2 linked regions of the Arabidopsis thaliana genome follow. The protein of the gene in region 2 interacts with the protein of the main gene of each other region in a pairwise test. Each region holds a gene or a part of one and is shown on either strand. Other genes may lie near its edges.

Evidence for each region. The genes of interacting proteins can lie anywhere in the genome.
Region 1: the proteins of EMB2752 (region 2) and AT5G48740 interact in a protein complementation assay, tested with the Arabidopsis thaliana proteins (one large-scale study listed by BioGRID).

The regions. Positions count from the first base shown.
Region 1 is NC_003076.8:19,764,684-19,771,213, forward strand, and holds AT5G48740 (Leucine-rich repeat protein kinase family protein), read right to left. Parts: upstream 4,687-6,530; 5' UTR 4,632-4,686; coding exon 4,574-4,631; intron 4,491-4,573; coding exon 3,953-4,490; intron 3,863-3,952; coding exon 3,411-3,862; intron 3,332-3,410; coding exon 3,214-3,331; intron 3,133-3,213; coding exon 3,064-3,132; intron 2,981-3,063; coding exon 2,912-2,980; intron 2,835-2,911; coding exon 2,766-2,834; intron 2,683-2,765; coding exon 2,611-2,682; intron 2,530-2,610; coding exon 2,461-2,529; intron 2,383-2,460; coding exon 2,153-2,382; intron 2,074-2,152; coding exon 1,868-2,073; intron 1,748-1,867; coding exon 1,621-1,747; intron 1,523-1,620; coding exon 1,454-1,522; intron 1,358-1,453; coding exon 1,168-1,357; intron 1,083-1,167; coding exon 950-1,082; intron 860-949; coding exon 641-859; 3' UTR 512-640; downstream 1-511. Other genes in the region: AT5G48730 (Pentatricopeptide repeat (PPR) superfamily protein), read left to right, coding at 1-453; AT5G48750 (Cytochrome b561/ferric reductase transmembrane with DOMON related domain-containing protein), read right to left, coding at 5,369-6,136.
Region 2 is NC_003075.7:14,533,670-14,536,969, forward strand, and holds EMB2752 (embryo defective 2752), read right to left. Parts: upstream 1,688-3,300; 5' UTR 1,503-1,687; coding exon 1,311-1,502; intron 946-1,310; coding exon 826-945; 3' UTR 512-825; downstream 1-511. Other genes in the region: PRA1.C (prenylated RAB acceptor 1.C), read right to left, coding at 1-350; ACHT2 (atypical CYS HIS rich thioredoxin 2), read right to left, coding at 2,314-2,592, 2,707-2,886, 3,188-3,300.

The DNA of each region.
Region 1 (6,530 bases), on a different chromosome or scaffold from region 2:
TCATGGACCATAGTCACCTATAATGTGGTCATTGACGCGTTTGGGAGGGCAGGAGACTTAAAACAAATGGAATACTTATTTAGACTGATGCAATCAGAGAGAATTTTCCCGAGTTGTGTTACACTATGTTCTCTTGTTCGTGCTTATGGAAGAGCTAGTAAAGCTGATAAAATTGGAGGAGTATTGCGTTTCATCGAGAACTCAGACATAAGGTTAGACCTCGTGTTCTTTAACTGTCTGGTAGATGCGTACGGGAGGATGGAAAAGTTTGCAGAGATGAAAGGTGTTCTTGAACTAATGGAAAAGAAGGGATTCAAACCTGATAAGATTACATACAGGACAATGGTTAAGGCTTATAGAATTAGTGGCATGACTACCCATGTAAAGGAACTTCATGGTGTGGTTGAGTCTGTTGGTGAAGCCCAAGTTGTGGTGAAGAAGCCAGATTTTTAGTGGAGGAATAGAGCTCAATTTTGCTAGTATATATCTTTCTAGTATCCATCTCCTTGTTCTAATGATAAAATGTAGTTAGTATAAGAGTAAATACATTTTCAGTTGGATTACAAATATATGTAACACAAACGGAAAAACAAAAAAAAATAATACAAGTTATGTATTTACTCTTGTTTGTGATGTGTTATCAGTCTGTATGTGCTGAAGCAGCTAGATATGAGAGTTGAAGACTGTACGCTTCTTTCAGTTTAGTCAAAACTTCGGCGATAGACGGTCTTCCAGATGCATCTCTTCCCACACATCTTATAGCAATCGAAGCAGCTTTTTTCATGCTCGCTGGATCAAATGTCTCCTTCAAGATATCATCCACAATCTCAAAAGCTCCTGCTTGTAAGTTTGGCCTAGCCTGCATTTAAGTATTCTGATCTTTTAAGACACTGTGTACTCAGATACTTGAGAGATGAGAAACTAAGATAATATTCTATGTTACTCTCACCCATAAGACCAAGTTAAACGAATCTGGTGATCCTGAGTGACTTAAGGGTTCTCTTCCACAGATAAGCTCCAACAGAACCACACCAAAGCTATAGACATCACTTTTCTCTGTCAGCTGCAGGGTAGAGTAATATCTGGAATGAAAAAGTGTGAGTAATGATTAGCTAATGAAGCTGTTAATCCATCACGAATTCGGAGAGATATTGTAGAAGAGTTTACTCGGGGTCAAGGTAGCCTGCGGTGCCTTTAACAACAGTAGTAATATGAGATGCATCTGCTTTTGTAAATTGTTTTGACAGGCCAAAATCAGAAACTTTCGCGTTCATATCCTTGTCTAAAAGTATGTTACTGCTCTTTACATCCCGATGTATAATTCTCGGCTCACTTCCATTATGCAGGTAGTCCAATCCTTCATGAATAAGCCAAAACTTTTACTATCTACCAGGATCAAACGAGTTTTATTATAATGATACCAATGGCAGATCCGCAGATGTTGAAGATGTACCTTTTGCAGCATCAACAGCAACTTTTAGTCTTGAAACCCAGTTCAATGAATGCCTTTTGCTACGTGGACCTGCAGAAGCAAGATATCACCGACAGCTATAGCTTTGCGAGGAAGATGATTTTGCAAAAAGATGATGAGAATTGCTAGATACTTGAGGATTTTCATACCGTAAAGGTGATCAGCTAAGGATCCACCAGACAGATACTCATACACCAGTATTTGACGTTTTGGTTCATAGCAGAAGCCCTCAAATGAAACTAGATTTTGGTGGCGGATCTGAGACAAAAGGTGCACCTAGAACGCAGACAGTACAAAGGGATCACTAAAGATGAATGTATACTTGACCGTGGATTTGGAATGCATGACATTCAAATATGGACAGTAATTTTGGGAGAACTATGTGGACGCTTAAACCTCATTGATGAAAGAATCAGCTCCAAGTTGAGTTCTATCAAATCGCACTTTGACCGCAACTTGTTTTCCATCTGGTAGTTTTCCACGGTATACAGCTCCAAAACTTCCACGACCAATCACTTCCTTGAAATTTCTAGTAGCTGACTTGATCTCTTTGTGAGAAAAGATTCTTGAAGCGTTCCAGTTCTGCATTTTCAGTTGTGCTCCTGATACAGATTTTGATATACTATAAGAATTATAAAGGGACAACTTTGTGGGGGCAAAGAGAAAGCATTGTTCCCATACTGGTTATATCTCTCTCTTTGTTTCTCTGTCTCCTCGTGAAGATCGACATGAAAACAAAGACAAGAAAGGTGGCAAACAAGGCTCCACCAGAAACTCCAAGCAAGATCGCTATACGGTTCTGTTTTCTTTGTTTCTTATTGATAGGGATAGTGACTTGTGGTGTGTCAATTGTTGAAGACACATTGTTGCATGATATTGAAGAGAACGAAAGGCATGGATTTCCCGTTATCCTGAAAAAAAGAAGCAATTCAGTAACATGCACAAGAACAGAATAGTGTAGCAAATGCCGAGACAGAAATCGTGTATACCTGACTTCCAGACCCGTTATGTTAAGAGACTGTGGCAAGGGACCTACTAAGTTATTGTTTTCCAGATTCCTGAGAAGAAGTAACATAAAGATTCTCTTCTGTGTGAATATGGTATGTACAAGCTACTTCTTGATGTTAATGTTTACTTACAGGAGACGAAGTTTCTTCAGCTTTCCTAATGTTTCAGGAACTGATCCTTGTAAGCTGTTGTTTTGCAGGTCCCTTCAAGAAATGGAGAAATACTTTAAAATTTTCCACAAAGAACGAACGTATATCCAGAAACTCTCAGTATAAGATTGACTTACAGAACTTCAAGGTTAACCAGATCTTCCAGCTCGGAGCCAAAAGATTCTAACTGATTGAAGCTCAAATTCCTGTATATACCGTCAGAAGCTTTTTAGTACTACAGGAAACATAAAAATTATGTTAATGTTCTATGGATGAGTATTACAGTTTCTGGAGATCCTTAAGGCTGCCTACATTCTGTATTGCTCCTGTAAGTGATGTATTATGCAAGTCGCTGCACGGAGAAGTAGAGAACACTCAAGGTAACCACATACGTATACATGAGACACTACAACTGTTGAAGAGTGATTGCCTTACAGTGTTTTGAGATCGAGCAAGTCTCCGAATGTTGGACTAATGGACCTCAGGTTGATTTTTGAAAGGAACCTGGACAGCCAGAAGAAGGAAAAATATGAGCTGAGATGAAGAAATGTTGAAAGCAATCGATATGATAAGGATTGTTTTTACAATGATGTAACACGGTTTCCTTCACATTCGATGTGGTTCCAAGGAAGCGGTGTGCATGGGTCGTCTTGCCATCCAAGGTCTTGCCCGGTAAATTGCTCTATGACTTTAAGTGCCGAAACTGCAAAAATATAAACTTGAAAGGTGAACTTCGGCTCTTGTGTAGTTTGCTTTATCCAGACAACCTCAAAAGAGAGTACCTGTGGTAGAAGAAGCTTCAGGAGGGATTTGGAGGATTTCATATACCTCAAGAGCACTCACTTGAGGATTGAACTTGATTTTTCTGAGGGTGATGTTTAACTTACTGATTCCTTTTTGCGTAAAGTACAAGGTACCAGCTTCTGAGCTAGTTACGGTGTAATCAGATTGTTTGACTTCATCATTGATCGTCACACTAAAAGAAGGGGAGAGTGAGAGTATCCCAGCAAAGTAGAGGATAATGTAGTAGTCCCCTGGTGTATGTAGAGAAAGAGTATATGAAAGACTTTCTTTGCGAGCAAGAATTCTTGCTGTCTTAAGAACAGAAGCTGGTGGATTCTCAGTAATATTGAAGGAATTCAATTTTGTGAGTCCATTGAAGCTCCAAGAGGCGTGAAACGGTGAATAACTTTGATCCGGATCCCATATTCGATCAAATGGATCTGAAGGATACCTACCATTCAACATAATTCACCAAGAAAATTCAACAAAACACACCAAAGAAAGAGACAGCGATCAAAGTTTAGAGCCTGAGAATTCTTACCGGATAGTCCCATTTGTGTATCCGCTATTGATTCGGTAACTTCTCCTGAGAATTATATCTGGTGAACCCTCCAGGCTGTATTTGTAAGAACCTAAAGGAAGTGGCCGTACTTCTAGAGAAGAGATAACCGGAATACCTCTTCCTTTAACCGCAAGCAAGCAAAGCAAAAGAGAATCATTGTTGACTGGCCAAACTAACTCTTCAATCCAAGGATCATTGGTTCTAAGATCAACAGTACTAGTGATTCTCCTTCCAAGAGAGACATGAAATGCTGGAGGACTATTCTGGCTATCATAGTTTCTATAAACGAATGTAGCACGAATCAGAACTGAAGACAAGTCTTTCCTCACAGGTAACTTGTAACATTGGCGACCTTGAGGATCCGGGAATAATCTGATGGGAACACTGGAAGTAGAATTCCCCTCGGCGTAAGTAACCGTGGTAGTGTTACCTGTTTCGATATAATCGTTGTCTGAAACCCATGAGATGTTATAAGCAGCGGTGTAACTTGAGCCGCCACATGATAAGCTCAAGAAACCTGTTCCATCACAAAGATTCAATCAAACAGTTGAAGGCAAAATGAGTACAAATAATGTGAGACAAAGTCTAGAATCTGCATACCATCTGGACTGGAGAAACAAAACACACAGAAACTACTGAGCAAAACCCAAAAGAGCATGTTCTAATTTCCTGATTGAAATCTGAAGAACATATATAACTAATTGTTCTATATTGTTTCCTAATTTGTGAGTGAATTCATTCTTTATATAATATGAGTGTCTGTGTGAAGATGTCAATGATGATGACTCGTAGGTACTTTACTTAGTGGTCATCAGAATGCACTAACAGTCAGTGTCAAGTTAATATTATAAATTACAATTTAACTAAAATGAATGTTTATTTAACAATAGAAGTGAGATCTTTTTAGTGTCAAATATGGTATTTGTGAGTTAAAATGTAAAAAGAGAGCAAAATTTGGTTGCTCAATTTTTAAGAATGATAATGAGAATGATGCTTGAGTGAGAATTCTTCAAATGCAATGATATTTATGTTTTGCTTGGCTTCAACACTAATCCTCAATGCATCCTCCTTAAGCTTCCTTATAAAGGGAAAATCTTTTTTGGACAAATCGTTTACATACCCAAAGTCTCCCATAACTTGAAAAGGAGAAAGAAAAACTAATTAATGCCTCAAAAACATAAATCTGTATTTAGTACTTAATTCAAAATCGTTAATCTCTAATTGATTTTTTTTTTTGGACGTTACACACGAACTAGGCTTCTTTTTTTTTTTTTTTTGACAGCCACACGAACTAGGCTTAGCTAATAGCAAACTAGCAATATAACTACTAAGTCAACCTTAAGAAATTAGACATCATAGACATCAATGCAAACCGTCTGATCAACTTCTAGATCCTTAGAGGATTAGTATGTAGAACCAAGTGGGGTCCAGTCCTTTGTAGGTCCTCATGTACCTTGCAGCCATGACACCAATGGGTATGAAAATCCCCCAACACACTGCATTCACTAGTCCATGAATGCTTTTGACTAGTAACATGTTATCATTAGCTGCTTTAGTGGTCATGACTTGTCCGGACAACAAATCCAAATTAGCCATGGATTTGAGATGATTTCCACTCATGGCGTGCATCCCAAGCCTATCACCTTCCTTCAACGGACCGTCTTGCCATAAATGATTGACAACGGTTGTGTTAGACGGCCACACCATAGTGGCAAATATAGTCATCTCTCTATTGAGATATTCAGCGGATAGTTGCGTTACACGAAAGCTCAGAGGGCCTTCTTGAAGCATAGGTGTGTAGCCATTTATTGAGGAAGTATATGCACGCATAAAACCGGACGTGGAGTTACGGTAAGCCAAAAGTGTTTGAGCACCTATCATGCCTTTGCTCGTCGGGTTTATGCCCCAAGCAATCCAACTAGAAGACTCGATGTTGGTATGACGATATGCAACTTCAAGCACTCCGGTTTCTCGAACGTAACTGTAGTGTAGAAACGAATCTAACACAGGAAGGTCAACACATGAACGGAAGTGTTTGCCATTGTTGAAGTTGTGAGAGTCGCAGCTAACTTGAACTTCATTGGTTGTTGCTCTAGTAAAGCATGGAGCCAAAACGAACAGAAAACACAAACCCACAAAAATAGTTCTCGAAGACAGAAACATGATGATGGATTTTCCGAGAGAACACTTAGGTTTAATCTTTCGAAGTCAGAGTATCTTGCTTTTGAAGAAATTCGATTAATGAATTTTTTCGTTGTTAGCTAGTGGTCTATATTTATAAAGAATACACGATTCCAATTCCAAGTGTAGTTGTGAATCGTTATTTTTCCTTTTTTTTTCGTGAATCGTTCTTTTTCCTTGCCGACAAATCTATTTAAATTTTTTGTCCCCCCAAATTTCAATTTATCTAATTTCTACCACATTTCAATTTCGTAAAAGCGATTTATTTTCGTTGTTTAAACTTTTTAAACCAAAGGAGTTAGCCACACAATCTAATAAATAAAACTCAAGCATAAAATGTTAGGAGTACAAATTTCGATACAAGACCTAAGTAAAA
Region 2 (3,300 bases):
ATCACACTGCCAAATATCACCCATGGTTCATTATCACGGGAGTAGACATATAGCCATGCTACTATCAAGATAACAAAGACGGAAAGGTGGACGGGTTGCCAAAGCATGCTGATGAAGATACTAACAATGAAGATAACAATGTAGTTGGTTCGAAAGATCATGATGTTGGATTTGATTCGTTCAGTGGCAACGCTAAAGGAGATAGGAAGGCTAAAGGCACTACATTGGACAAGTTCAAGCCATGGCCTTTGAGAGCTAAGACCTAACGAGATCAATTCTTTGGCTCGTCCTAATAAGCTCAGGCTCGACGAAGCATTTTCTTGGGATGGTATAGTGCCATAGGTTGTCATATTCTTTCACAAGCAACAAACAAAAAAAAAAAGGAAGGAAAGAAACAGAGTACGTCCCCAGAGGAATCTATATGGACTAAAGAATGTGAAGCAACCTAATTTGAAGAGAAAAATCTGTGTTGGCTCAATGTTTCTGAGGTAGTTAGATCATCTATCTTATTTGGGAATGTTTTATTTCAGGACACCAGAAGAGAGGCAGATACAAGCAGAGATATTCAAAGGAATGAATGGATACCCTTAAACTTCTCAAATCAAATCCTTATACTATAACGAGACTGTCATTACATGTAATTTCTAGAAAATAGATTCTTAAGAGAGTCATTAGACTCGAAATACAGACACAAACATTCTACTGAACCAAAAGAAGTTTTTTGATATACATATACTAGTGAACCAGTATAAATCCATTTATATCTGCGTATCAAAGTCGGAGATACATCCTTCACCATAGTCTCTGATAGCCTAATCGTTAGCTTCACTGGCTGCTAGCATCTGAAGCAATAGCCTCACCACGATAAACTCTCCATGGTCCTCGATAGAATACTGGCTTCATCAGAGGCACTGTTTTCCCTGGGTGCTCTTCCCAAAACTTCTCCTGTTTACAGAGAGTGGAGTAACATAAAGTTCACACTCAAACAAGAAACATAACTGATACTAACACAAAACAGTGTAAGAAACACATTGACAAAGAATACAATATACTACAGAACAATGAATTAGATTAGATACTAATCAAGACGTAAAAGCTTCATTGAAAGACCTAATGAACCATTCCCATGAAAAGCAATTCAAGTATAGTTCTTTTCATGATCACACAATCCTTTATTAGTAATCAACAATGAATCATTTCCAATTTTATCACATTTCGAACCCTAACATTTACCAATCACGAGAATCAAATTAGAACCCACAAATCTAATAGCAATTCCGGGCCTGAATCGATAACAATACGAAGCTGACCTTGTAGAGCTGCTCTGTAACTGCAGCGCCGATGACGCCGGTGTAAAAGGCGGCGACATAGATAGTAATCAAAGTTGTGAAGGTTTTTGGTCGACGGTAAGGTTCGATCATTTCCCAAACAGCAAATCTCTCGAACTTATTGTACTTATAATCAGCATATTTCCTCCATAGTTGGCTCCACACTCCTTGCATCTCTCAGATTTCTCTCTTCTCAAACCTTCGCCGAATTTTGGATTTCTCCGTCTAGCTGTTTCGCGGCGGCGCGTGGGAACCTGAGAAAAATCTGATATCAAAAGGCAAGACTTTAAACGTTAAAACGTTTACCAAACAGTCCTCTTATTCCTACATGTTTTAGTTTTCAGCCCTTAACTTATCTTTAACACTTAAAAGTCTTGAGCTCACATTTGTAAATTTTTAAAAAATCTTATTTGATATGATTCTTGTAAATTTGTAAATTGTAATCACAACACATGATTATTGTAACCATTGTGCTATGTATTTGTTTTTCACTATCGTTCGGTAAGTTGAGAAAGTTATAAATTTACCCCAAAACTATGGAAATGAGACTTATGCAACCTCACATGACTTCATCAATAAGCTTGCTTTAAAGCAATAAAGAACAGCAGTAGTGAAAATACATTTGCAATTGACTATTAGCAGAAGAATCGTAACTGGCTTTAGGAAGTATTCTTTTACACCCAAAAATATGACGATATACAGAATTTTAAGCTGAGTATTTGCTTGAGCAACCAAAGATTGTTGCCTTAGTAATATATCTAAAAATCTGGCACTTCAACTTGATGCAGCTGGTTTGGCTAATGTTAAGCCTTCAGGTACCTTGGCTGGACCGAGGCTGCAACGATCGGTATTGTGCAGTTGGATTGCATCTTTTATCTTCTGAAACTGAATACACACAAATATTCAAAAGAAGAGGATGTCAAATAGTAATCAGAGACAGACCAAATGCATTCAACCGGTTTTGGTATCAATATCAGCAAAGGGTCTATAATATTTGATAGATCCTATCGAAAAAGAACAACGAAGTAGTTCTCTTTGTTTGAAGCGTTATGCCAAGCTCTAGTTGCGGAAAAGGTGAAACCGAAATAGCCTTCTTTACCTTAGCAAGAGAACATGAGAATGACTCAAGCTGACCATCAGCTCCACGGTAAAAGTGGAAAAAAGGAAGCACTCTCACGTTCAAACTCTTGCACATCGGTTTATTCTCATCAAAGTTTACTTTAAGGAACACTATATCGGGATGTTCCACCGCTGTCTTGCAAAGCTGAAAACATTTTCAAAACAGACACAAAAAAAACATCTAAATTTCTCACAGAATCACGAAAGAGAAATGAAACTCTTATAGTTTCATGGAATAGATACGTCACATGACACTAACCTTTGGGAACAATGCTCTGCAAGAAGCACACCAAGTTCCATAAAACTCTACAATAACTAATCTTTCACCCGCACCGCTTAAAGCGCTCAAGAACTCTTCAGTAGAATGAATATCGACCATGTTTGGAGCATTCCTCTCCCACCATTTCGGTGGCTCTGTCTCGGCTACATTTTCATCTACCTACACCACAAACCCACATCAGAAACATAAAACTATGGCCGAAAGCATCACCATCTAATCAAAGCAATCAATAGCATCACCGTCTCTAACAAAAAAACTGAAACTTTAGACTAAATTCTAAACATCTGAAGTGGAATGAGAACATAACAGTGAGCTAAGGTCACAATTCACGTTTAGGCTCTAGCTAGAGGCGAAAGACCAAATCGAATAACAAGAGATCAGAAATGGGCTCAAGAGTCTCAATTTCCAAAAGGGTATACGATTTACGGACAGAATCAGCTAAAAGGCAAGACATTTGTACCTTGACACGAACCACTTGGCTCTTGGGTCGTCTAAGGGGGAGATGGCTTCCGAGACCAGAAGATGGGTGGTAATGAGAAGACGAGCAGGAAGGAGAAGATGAGAGAAGACGCA